3 linked regions of the Schizosaccharomyces pombe genome follow. The protein of the gene in region 2 binds, or shares a complex with, the protein of the main gene of each other region. Each region holds a gene or a part of one and is shown on either strand. Other genes may lie near its edges. The genes, in order: spp1, spp2 and spb70.

Region 1 (3,755 bases), on a different chromosome or scaffold from region 2:
AAATATATTATTACTGTCGATTTAACGGAAAACAATATGCTCCACGTAAATAGAAGTCAGAGCTTCCATCCTTTCATGAGTAAATGTATGCCCAAATTTTTAGTTAAAGCTTGAATCGATTGTTGAAATACGATTTTAAAATTCCAAATTCTCATGTTTTCTTTTATTTCCTACTGTTTCTTTAAAAAGCTGGCTACTGAACGATTTAAAGTACAGCGTATAAGGATTGAGAGAAGTTGAAAAGCCATGCCCCTTGTTTGATTGTCCCCTAGCATTATCTTTTTGGTTTTCTGTTGTATTAGTTTCCATTGTTGGACCATGGCCGTTATCATTTTGGGAATTTTTATCCAACTCTTGCAAAAGATCATTCACAGTGGGTACTTTCAAAGGATTAAAAGAATCCATCCTCTCTATATCTATGGGAACACAAACACGACTAGTTCCGGGGTGGACGCAAAATGGAGATTTTAGCAAATGGTTTAAATGTCTAGAAACCTCAACATCCAATCTTGGATACAAATAGGTTAAAACAATGTCCTGCTTGGCAATCGCAATTACTGAAGGAGATATAGAGGCAATAGAACCAGATGCTAAGACAGTGTCAATGTCGGACCATTTATTTTTGCTAGATCGTTCAGGATCAACCTCCCATTTTTTACGAAGAGCAGATGCTAAATCCTTGTCTGGTAGTAATTTCAAAAGGTTTTCGGCTCCTTCTTTAGAAGCCCACGGATCTTGGTCTTCAAGGACAATTTTTACAAAGGCCGATTTGAGAATGTTGAGAGAACGAGTCAAATGTGGGTGAAGGGGTCTTTTTAAGTTATTAATAAGTCGTACGCCACCTTGAGGATTACCTACTACAACCTGTAAATAACTGGCAATCATTCTACGAGACCGATCGTCTAAAGAACAAGCAATTTCGTCACAAATCCAAGCGTGAATACCTCTTCGACCAGAGTATACCCACAATATGTGTTTAAATCCAAAGTCCTCATGAAAACAAATATCTAAAACTTGAACTGCGATCGTAATAAATGGCCAGCATTTTTCGCATATATTTGTTTTTGAGCAGCAGGTTCGTACATCATCGTAGTCAGTCATATCTATATCAAAAACGAGTTCCTTTTTAAGCGGATGAAATGTTGACTTCCTTATTGTTTTCCTGTCCCTGGGATTGGCACTATAAACGGGTCCAACTTCAAATCGGCTTGGGCATAAATTTAAAGCTTCCTTTTTTAACTCTTCCCAATTTGAAAAAGATAAATAACGAATATAAGCATCATTAGGAAGTGTGAACGCGAACTCCCGATGAGCAAAATCATTAGTGACTACCGGACCATGATTTAACCATTGAAATAAATATTTCCACGGAAAAAGATGGCGATAATATTGAATCATCGTCTCTGAATCCACAGCTCCCTGTTTACTATAAGAAAATTGTTAGAGAATTTTCATTATTTTAGAGGCTCAATCGAGTCCATAGTTAAGATTGTTCAGTATTCACACTTACGCGCCATCAAGTGTTCCGTTTGCAATTATCTCATCCAAATCTTTGTCGTCCAATTCATCGATTTGAACAGTCATATTGTAATAAGTTTAGCTAAAAACAAAGGTTATTTACATACAGCTCAACCATAAATCAAAAGGAAACGACAGCGTACTTAAACGTTATACGTTATTTAAATTTAAAAAACTGCTTAACGTATGCGTAAACATTCAGCAGTAAAATGGAGCATTCATTAGTGCATCTACTTTACTTTTAAAGCATAATTAACATTTCAACTTTGCATTTCGAGATACGTATCAAACTCTGTGCAATGGTATTTCTCCACATATAGAATTAGAAGAAATATATGTTTATGTAGATTAGCCTCTCTTTTTGTTTTGAGTTTGTTTTTGCAGTTGTTTGAATCGAACACTACAAAATTGAAATTGGGTCCAGGCAGTGCATTAATTGGCAAATCATGCACGATGAATCACGAACTAAACAAATATCTAGTATAAAAGCGCTCTTAAAGAAGTGGGAACATGAGTACGTCCATACGAACAATTGCAAACCTTCTAAGGAGGATGTGAAGAAACAACCAGAAATAGGTATGTAAGCCAAAGATACACTTGAATTTTTGAAGCAAACTAACGAACTTTTTTAGCGCTTTTATATAAGCAATACTACGAGTTGAAACGCGAATCCTCCATTACCCCTAAAAAAGCAAAAACAAAGGTCGACTTTAAGTTTCAAACTCCTACAAAACAGCGTGCTGAAACTGAAGCGAACGAGAGTCCTAAAGCGCCCCGAAATGATTATCTACAGGTTACTCCGAAAACTGTGGATAAAAGTCTTTTAGGTCCTACTCCACAGTTGTCACGTCGAGTACTTAACCTTCTTGAAGACATGTCTCCCATTGCAGATTCTCATGTGGATCAAATTTCGGATATAAAACATAACACTAGTGAAATTTCATCAACTATGATACCGACTACTCCATCAAAAAATCCCGAACCTGTGGCTCAACATACTCCCACCGTTCTTGAAACCCCCTCTTCATATCGCCTTCAAGTTTATACATCTCCTAACTTACTTCGAGTTAATGCGCCATGCCGAAAAAGTCTCAGTGAAATGCTTCGTGAGTTAAAAGATATTGAAGATGATTACGGATCAAATGAAGAGAAGATATTGCAGGAGTTTGAAAGCTTTAGTAGCTCATCTTCAGAAAGCCTTGTAGATAGAGACATATCACAACCTATGAAGAAAAAAATTAAACGACAAAATCGTCTTGTTAAATGTAAGGTTTTCTCCTGTTTGTACCTGAACTAACGTTTTAGTGCCCCCTTCAATGAATCTTTCCAAAAGTCATTTAGAAGGTCTTCCTGAAATAGACGAAGATGCGGAAAATGGCATTGACGACAATGAAGATACAACTGCTAGCAAAGATTCGTCACCATTTTTAGATCTGCAGAGTGAACGACAAAATAAAAAGATTATGAGAAACGGGCTTGTTATTGGAAAACAAGTAAGCCAGAATTATTCCTCTTACAAATTAAAAAAACGTAAATTTCGGCGTCACAGAAGCTAACATATAATTTGTCAATCGGAACTTTGCTGTTGTATTTAAAAAAACACATACTTTCTGATCTTCCTTAATAGGATATACACTTTTTCAATGAATGTTAAAGAGGTATATATATTTAATAAATCATGCATTCAATAAAACCTGGAAATAGATTTTGTGGGTTTTTGAGATTTAAATGAAATAATACATCATGAGTTTGTGGTATCCTGTTAAAAAAATTTTGGAAATATAAAAGTTTGAATGAATCATATATTTCTTGTTCTTAATCTTCGGGTAAAATCAAATTAGTTACTATCGAACGATAAACGTTTTATATTTTTACGTAGGCATTCGTCCAACATTAAATCTAAGACTGGAACGTTTTGATATACGAATATCATGAGGACGTAAGGAAAGAAGAAGTACAAAAAAAATCGAACCTTCAATATTGAAGCTGGCGAGAAAGACAAATAAAAAAACAGCTTCAAATAAGTTTGGATCTATTGAAATGAGGAATACATGAAAGCTGAATATCATCATTACTTTACATGGATTTGCATAGCTTATTCATCCTTAGGGGACAGCGATGCCAAATTTCCTCTTAACTAAATTTTTAGACAACCTAAACACCATACGTTGATGCTAAACTTCAAAACATGAATAGTCATTTCCAAATGTCATTTACAACTTAAGAAACCATGCTTT
Region 2 (3,755 bases):
CAATCTACTCCATCTGAATTAATTACATCTCAACTTACGCGGATTGCCAAATCCCTTTCTAGTGTTTTGATGCGTTTTGATACCGATTTCTGCCTTTTACGCAAGCAACAAGCCGAGGCTGCCTACGAAAGGGCTCAGGCTGGTGTTGAACAGGAGCGTAAAGCGGTCATTGCTCAGCGTAGTCTTCTCGAATTACGTCGTGGACAGGCTGATACACTTGCTACTCAACGTGAAGCTGAGCTTGCTGCTCAACGCGCTCTCAAACAAAAGCAAGAATCTGAAGCCGAGTCTCTCCGCGTTCAAGAAGAAATTAATAAACGTAATGCTGAAAGGATTCGTCGTGAGAAGGAAGCTATTCGCATTAACGAAGCTAAAAAGTTGGCCGAGGAGCTCAAAGCTAAGGGTGGATTGGAAGTCAATGCCGAAGACTTGGAGCATTTGGATGCTGATAAATTGAGAGCTATGCAAATCGAACAAGTCGAAAAGCAAAATAAGAGTATGAACGAACGTTTGCGTGTTATTGGAAAGCGTATCGACCATTTGGAACGTGCTTATCGTCGTGAAGCTATCCCATTGTGGGAAGAAGACGCAAAACAACAAGCCGAACATGACCGCGAAATCTTTTACGAGAGGGAGAAACAACGCAAGGAAGTACAAGAGCGTAAGCATGAACAAGCCATTAAAGACAAAAAGGCTTTTGCTCAATTTGCTTCCTATATTCATGCCTATAAGCAAAATATTGACGATGAACGTGATAAAGCATATCAGGAGGCATACGCCAAAGCTAAAAATGTCATTGATGCAGAGCGCGAAAGGCAACGTAAAGAAATTTTCGAACAAAAATTGGCTGAGGCTATTCGCGAAGCTGAAGAGGAGGCTGCTCGTGCTGCTGAGGAAGAGGCAAACCGTGAGCTTCATGAGCAAGAAGAAGCTCAAAAACGTGCTATCGAGGAAAGAACTCGTGCAGCTAGAGAAGCTAAAGAACGCGAACAGCGCGAAATGGCTGAGAAATTGGAACGCCAAAGACGTATTCAGCAAGAGCGTGATGAAGAAATATCTCGTAAGCTTGCCGAGAAAGCAGCTGCTAGAAGAGCAAATATTGGCGCATCTTCACCTAGTCCTGGTGCTTGGAGGCGCGGCGGTGCTAGTGCTGGCGGTGTTTCACGAGACTCTCCAAGGTATTCTCGTGGTGGCTACTCTCGTGGTTCTGTTCCTCCTCGTGAGACCCTTGCTCCTTCTAAGGGAGCATATGTTCCACCAAGCAGACGTAATCAACAACAACAGTAGTAAACCTACTGTCTATAAGAAAATAAACCTGTCGACAATTAATTATTGTCGCAATTGGATATTGGAGTCAAGTCTTTACGATGCATTATCTAATGTCACAGCTGATAAATTTAAATGAACTAATGTGTTCTCCTATTGAAAGTTGTAAGTTCCTTTTTCTTACAAGGGTAGTTGGTTACTTTCATGCTATTGGAATTCATGAAAGCGGTTATGTGTATAAAAAGAGCCTTTTGTAGCTCTATTTAATAGATAATTATCGTTAACCTTTGAACTTTTTTTAATTTGTATAATACTGCTTAAAGCTTGACTTGTTAATTGTAAATGTAGAACGATACTAATCGAATAAAGATGTTACATGTCAAGTTTATAAGCGACGATGAGTTTTTACAGTTGACGTTTCTGTAGTATGCATTTCTCATTTCAATAATTCTGAATACAACGAGTGAAGAAATAATTCATTAATTATTAGCAACGTGTTTTGTATTAGTACCAAAAAGGTTAAGCAGCTTAAAATATTTGTTTAAAGACACTCAAAGTAAAAAGGTTTCTTGGTGAGAGGCACGACAATTTGTTACCGCAAATAGACTCTTCGCTAACCACCATGTTCAGAACGACCAAAAGTCGAGTAGTTGAAAAGAATCAAAATTTTTCTAGTGCTAGTTTTGAGAGTTTAAGTTATCCTACGCGACTTAATTTTTATAAGAAACCTCCTGTCTCTGAAATAAGCATTGAAGAGTTTGAAACATGGGCAATAGACCGATTAGTTGGTATGCTTTCCATTTTCTTTATTATTTTCTATTCTTTTGGAGTAAGCTAACTATTTAGTTTTGGGTGAAATTGAGTCAGCAATGCTCCGCAATAAGACGAAAAATGAATTGAACGGGATTATAAAAAAGATACTGGATAAACGTCTGCCGATGAGTAGCAACATGGCTAGGACTGTAAAAGGAAACTCCTTAGATGAAGAAAGAAGGAAAGATCATTATTCTCATTTCATTCTGCGCCTGGCTTTCAGCAGATCGTAAGTAAAAATGTGCTATATTTGAGTGCTGTCTGTCGAAAAATATCTCATTTAGACTTATAAATGCGTTCGCGTTATGGCATAAGTAGTAAATTGAACATAAAGTGGGTATCAATTTGCTGCTTCAGTTAAACAGAAAGCATTATATATATGAATACATTTAAACTTGCTTTTATTCTTTTCCTAACGCATTCATTAGTGATGAATTACGAATCAGGTTTTTAAGAGCTGAATCCACGTTATTTCGGTTTCGATTTGTGAATGAGGAAACCCGAGAACGTCAAGCGTTTATAGATAGTCTTGATTTTCAATGGGAATCTGTTTCACAAGAAGAAAAAGACGTTTTTTATGAAAAGCTACAGGCTTCTTCTCAAAGAAATATAGAAAACGAATCTTTCTTCAAAGTACCTTTTTTTAAAGTTCCGGATTTAGTAGAACGAAGGGCTGTTTTCGTTCACAAGGGATACGCTTACGTACCATTTTCGGAACAAGTAAGTCTAGTTGTTGAAGAGTTTGAAGAAAACTTAAAAAAAGCGCTTGAGTCTACCGCAAAATCTCTTCCTAGGCTTGATGAAGACGATCGTCTTTTGCCAATTCTCAACCATTTGAGTAAAGGATTCGTTGCTCCCGAGAGTTCAATAGTTGCTCCTAAATCTGGTGCTATTACTGCTGGACAAGTAGACAGTTTTGTTTCACATTTTCCATTATGCGCCAAACATTTACATGAAGTACTTAAGCGTGATAAGCATCTACGGCATTTTGGCCGTCTTCAATATGGGCTATTTTTAAAAGTATGAAACTTATTTTTTATGTAGTAATTTACTAATTTTTCAGGATATTGGCCTTTCTGTCGACGAAGCTTTGGTCTTTTGGAGGAAAAGTTTTACAAATGTAACAGAAGACAAATTTAACAAAGAATATCGCTACAATATTAGACATACTTATGGACTTGAAGGAAATAGGAAAAATTACAAGGGTTATAATTGCCAGCAGATCCTTACAGGGCCTCAACTTGGTCCTGGAGATGCCCACGGTTGTCCTTATCGTACATATTCAGTAAATAATCTAGTGTCAGCATTGGCTTCCATGGGAATAGCACCGGATTCTGCCGGATGCCGTGAAGTTGTTGAGGCAGTTAAAGCGAGGCATTATCATATTGCGTGTACGCGTGTTTTTGAGCTTACTCATCCAAATGTCGGTTCGCTGGAGGAGAGCATTCACCATCCCTTACAATATTTTCAACTTAGTTTAGAATCATAAGCTAAGATACTTTTAGTTCACGATTATCATAACACATTTCAATTTTTGTACAATAGGTATTGAACACTTTCAAAATACATTTCATAGCTATAATTCAAAAATCTAATTACCGGCAGGCTGGTTATATAGATGAATAAGCATTGTTACTAATAAAAGGCAATAATACCAAATCAACGTAAAAAACATG
Region 3 (3,755 bases), on a different chromosome or scaffold from region 2:
GGGAACCAGTTGCGCGGAGCATGCGGGAAACCAAGGTGATTACGAAGGATGCTAAAGAGCGTAGGGATTAGGCATCGCTATTTAGTATAAAGTAAATTAATGGGTTTCACTAATACAGACAGTGATCTCGGTAGATTTGAACGTTACGTGTGTGTAAAAATGTAATATCGATCTTTGTGGTAAGCTCGCAATATTTTTTAGTGTATAGCATTCCTTGAAAATTAAGATGGATTAACTATACAAGCAGCAATTGCTTTTGAGGTATACAATCAAAAGGCCATCATCCTACCCATTTTATATGAAAGCAAATGAATAGACTGCTGACGGGGCAACACTTAAAGAGTAAAGAATAAATACAATACGTAGGGCTTGCCTATCAAGTATAGATGGTGTAATCCTTTTTTTCTTTTTCGCTTTTTGTTTTTTAGTACTTTTTCACACCTTTATTGAAACATATCTTTATTTTTTTTGATAATCATACTCTATATTTTGTTGCTTTATTTTTAGTGTCTTTTCTTCTAAGCTCTCTTTAGTAGATAAAATATCACCGATTAAAATGATTACAAAAAGTTGGGCTTTTCATTCTCTATATATACATCTGCTATATACGTATTGAGTTTGCTACCAATTCTTAATAGCCAGCCCTCTATTACCACGAAACATCTGATTCAGAAAGTCAAAATCACTTTCTTCCGTGATTAATTGTTTATCTTGCTGCTTCCGCTAAACTGTTACTTTGCAAACCTGACATTCCATAGTATCGGAAAGTTTCTAAAGCTTTTGTAAACAAGACGGTCGTTCAGCCCAGGCTTATTGCTGACGATGTTAGTTGTATTATTAAATAATTTCTTTGATGAAAAAAGAAAAACTCAAACACCATGGGAAACATTTAGTAGTGTATGAGAAGATTTGTTCTTTCACATAGCTTAATGTTCCAGTATATATTTATTGAGTTGAAAACGAAATAATTTTTAACTTAGATATTGTTTTTTTTTTTTAAATTATTGTTTGGCTTCTTATTTTTTTTATTGCATTTTATTTTATTTTGGGTTACTTTTTTTTTTTTTTAAGTTGAAAATTAAACAAATTAGCCAAAAAAAAAAGAAATCGAATATGCTGAATTGAGCTATAGGGTTGGATCCTATTAATTAGCAAAAATTCCTATAGTTTAAAAAAAAAAAAAAAAAAAAACAACGAAAAAAAAAGAGAAAAAAAGAGAAAAAATATAAAACATATTTCTACTTCACTTTGTACAATCCATATTGTCTAGTCAAGTAGTTGCAAGCCTGTTCTGTATAGCGAATGTCAACTACGCAGTTTATAATATTTAACGATACTTAGGATTGCAGTGAGTTTTCCTCGTGATCAATTATATTGCAATAAACAGGTATTTTAAGTAGCAGCTGGGTATATGTATTCTGTTATGTAGGTCTATTGTTAGTTATCACTAATGTAGCTTATAACCGAACTGAGGAACGAAGTTCAGTTGATTTCAGTTTATAGTATTTGAAAAAGTCTTTAATTGTAACTGATATTTATATTATCATAAAAGGTACTGTAGCTGTCTTTTTAACCTACCATGTAAAGTAGATAGAGCAAATAGAACATTACAACATGTGACATATAGTGATACTCGGACACATTGTAACATAGCTTAGTTTCAGCTGACAAAACAAAAAAAATACATACTACACTATTTATCAGTAAACTAATATTACATAGTAAAAGCATCTCGTTAAATGTTTAAGGAGGTTTAAAAAACACATTAAACCACATACTACTGCGTTTCTCCACAGTATCCACGGAGCGTCCCAGTATATCCGAGTTTTTATTAGAAGAGCGATTTAAGTAGTTGCTTTAAGAAGATACACTCTCCTATCCTAAAAAGGTTTACTCATAATTATTGGTGGGTACCTCTTTAAGTGGTTGAACTTTCTGCTATACGTCGTTTTTTCTATCTGTTGTTAGGTTGGAATCGCGTAAACAAATTAAAAAAAGCAACTTCGAAAATCTATCACTGGGCACTTTTGGACTGGGATTGCTAGTACGTGTACTTGTATTTTTTATTCTTATTTATTTCTTTTTCAGGACCCACATCACAGTACAAAATTAGTCACTTCAAATTAATTTGCTCGTAATATTCCCAGGTATTCATTTACTGTCTTTTTTTTTGGGTATCTTGTTTCATTTTCAACTTCATTCAATCTTCAAAAAAATGGAATTTCCTATCGATGATGAGGAATTGCTAGATGAGCGAAATAAACTTCTCCAAATTTGCAATATGGACGAGCAAACAATGTTCTACAAGTGGGAGTCCTGGTGTTTGCAACGAGGAAATACACCAAAACTCGACCTTGACACATTCAAGGCCTTTGCTAAAGACATGAAATTTCAAATGGAGAGGCAGGTAAAAGCCACACTTAAACAGAATCCTGAAAGAAAATCGATAAAGCAAATCCCGGGAATGAATATTGATAGCATGTGCGTACATTAGCAAATGGTTTTAACTAACAAATATCTAGACTAGGTCTACCAGTGAAGACCACCGCATCAGGCGACTCGTTGATGCAAGAGTCTAAACCATCTACCGAAACTTTCGAATTGAATTCCAGTGACGCTGGAAGGGTTTTGGAAGTTTTAAATAAAGAATTAAAAATTGTAACTTCAAAACCTTCAGCTCCATCCAAGCTGGTTATCGTAGCGAATTTTGATCTCAAGGCATTTAATTACAGGATCATGTATCAAAAGCTTTATGATTCTTCTGAAGTTCTGGATGATCGCATTGAGCTTTTTAGTGCATTAACTTGCAGAAAATACAACATAAGTGATGAAGATTTGGCAAATCCTAGCGAACTTACTCAAGAACCCGTTGTAGTTGTAGGACGAATTGTTGTCGAAAGTACCAATTTAGGTGGAAGACTCAACCAAAATAGCATTTTACTTGAAAGTTCAAGACGTCTAGGCGCTGGTGTTCGAGTTCGTTTGAAGGTGGATGATCTACCAAGTTACTCAATATTTCCTGGTCAAATTGTTTCAGTTAAAGGATCCAATCCTAGCGGTAACATGTTTATCGCCAAGGAAATCCTTCCTATACCTCCTTTGCCGTTCCCAAGTTCATCTAAACAGGAGCACGCTACCTTTGTTGCTAATACAAATAATCAGCCAATTTCTATATATATTGCATCTGGACCTTGGTCTCTCCGTGATGATCTCTCTTTTTCCCCTTTAAAATCAATGATTTCATATGTAAATAAAAATCCTGTTGACTTGGTTATTCTATGTGGTCCATTCTTGGATATTAATCATATACTAATACGTACCGGAAACATTACAGGAACGTCTGCGACTTCTTTGGAAGAGTTGTTTAAAGAGCGTGTCACACCCATATTAAGCCAGCTAACTTGTCCTTGTATTTTAATTCCTCACATCAATGATGCTGCTTCAGATCATCCTGCATGGCCACAGGATGCATTTAATCGGGTGGCCTTAGGTCTTCCATCTGTATGTTAAGTTGTATAATAATTTTTATTGACCAATCCATAGAACTTCAAATGCTTCCCGAATCCTTGCATGTTTTCCATTAATGATGTCGTCTTTGGTGTGTCAACCAACGATATACTCCTTCACACATCTAGAGAAGAGTTATTTCGTCTACCTTCTCATGGTAACTTATTTGCACGTTTGGTTTCTCACGTACTTCACCAAAGGCATTTTTATCCCTTATTCCCTGGAGGTTCTCTTGAAAAGTGCAACCC

Evidence for each region.
Region 1: spp2 (region 2) and spp1 share a complex: the UniProt entries of both Schizosaccharomyces pombe proteins name them as parts of the alpha DNA polymerase complex.
Region 3: spp2 (region 2) and spb70 share a complex: the UniProt entries of both Schizosaccharomyces pombe proteins name them as parts of the alpha DNA polymerase complex.

What each region holds. Positions count from the first base shown.
Region 1 is NC_003424.3:2,429,034-2,432,788, forward strand, and holds the start of spp1 (DNA primase catalytic subunit Spp1), read right to left. Parts: upstream 1,603-3,755; 5' UTR 1,585-1,602; coding exon 1,511-1,584; intron 1,427-1,510; coding exon 136-1,426; 3' UTR 1-135. Other genes in the region: drc1 (DNA replication preinitiation complex assembly protein), read left to right, coding at 1,965-2,094, 2,151-2,783, 2,824-3,074. UniProt on the Schizosaccharomyces pombe protein: Catalytic subunit of the DNA primase complex and component of the DNA polymerase alpha complex (also known as the alpha DNA polymerase-primase complex - primosome/replisome) which play an essential role in the initiation of DNA synthesis.
Region 2 is NC_003423.3:3,315,895-3,319,649, forward strand, and holds spp2 (DNA primase large subunit Spp2), read left to right. Parts: upstream 1-1,878; 5' UTR 1,879-1,888; coding exon 1,889-2,054; exon of another isoform or gene 2,055-2,112; coding exon 2,113-2,308; exon of another isoform or gene 2,309-2,507; coding exon 2,508-3,099; exon of another isoform or gene 3,100-3,142; coding exon 3,143-3,568; 3' UTR 3,569-3,735; downstream 3,736-3,755. Other genes in the region: tif301 (translation initiation factor eIF3a), read left to right, coding at 1-1,287. UniProt on the Schizosaccharomyces pombe protein: Regulatory subunit of the DNA primase complex and component of the DNA polymerase alpha complex (also known as the alpha DNA polymerase-primase complex - primosome/replisome) which play an essential role in the initiation of DNA synthesis.
Region 3 is NC_003421.2:285,425-289,179, forward strand, and holds the start of spb70 (DNA polymerase alpha B-subunit), read left to right. Parts: upstream 1-1,804; 5' UTR 1,805-2,215; coding exon 2,216-2,481; exon of another isoform or gene 2,482-2,522; coding exon 2,523-3,501; exon of another isoform or gene 3,502-3,543; coding exon 3,544-3,755. UniProt on the Schizosaccharomyces pombe protein: Accessory subunit of the DNA polymerase alpha complex (also known as the alpha DNA polymerase-primase complex) which plays an essential role in the initiation of DNA synthesis.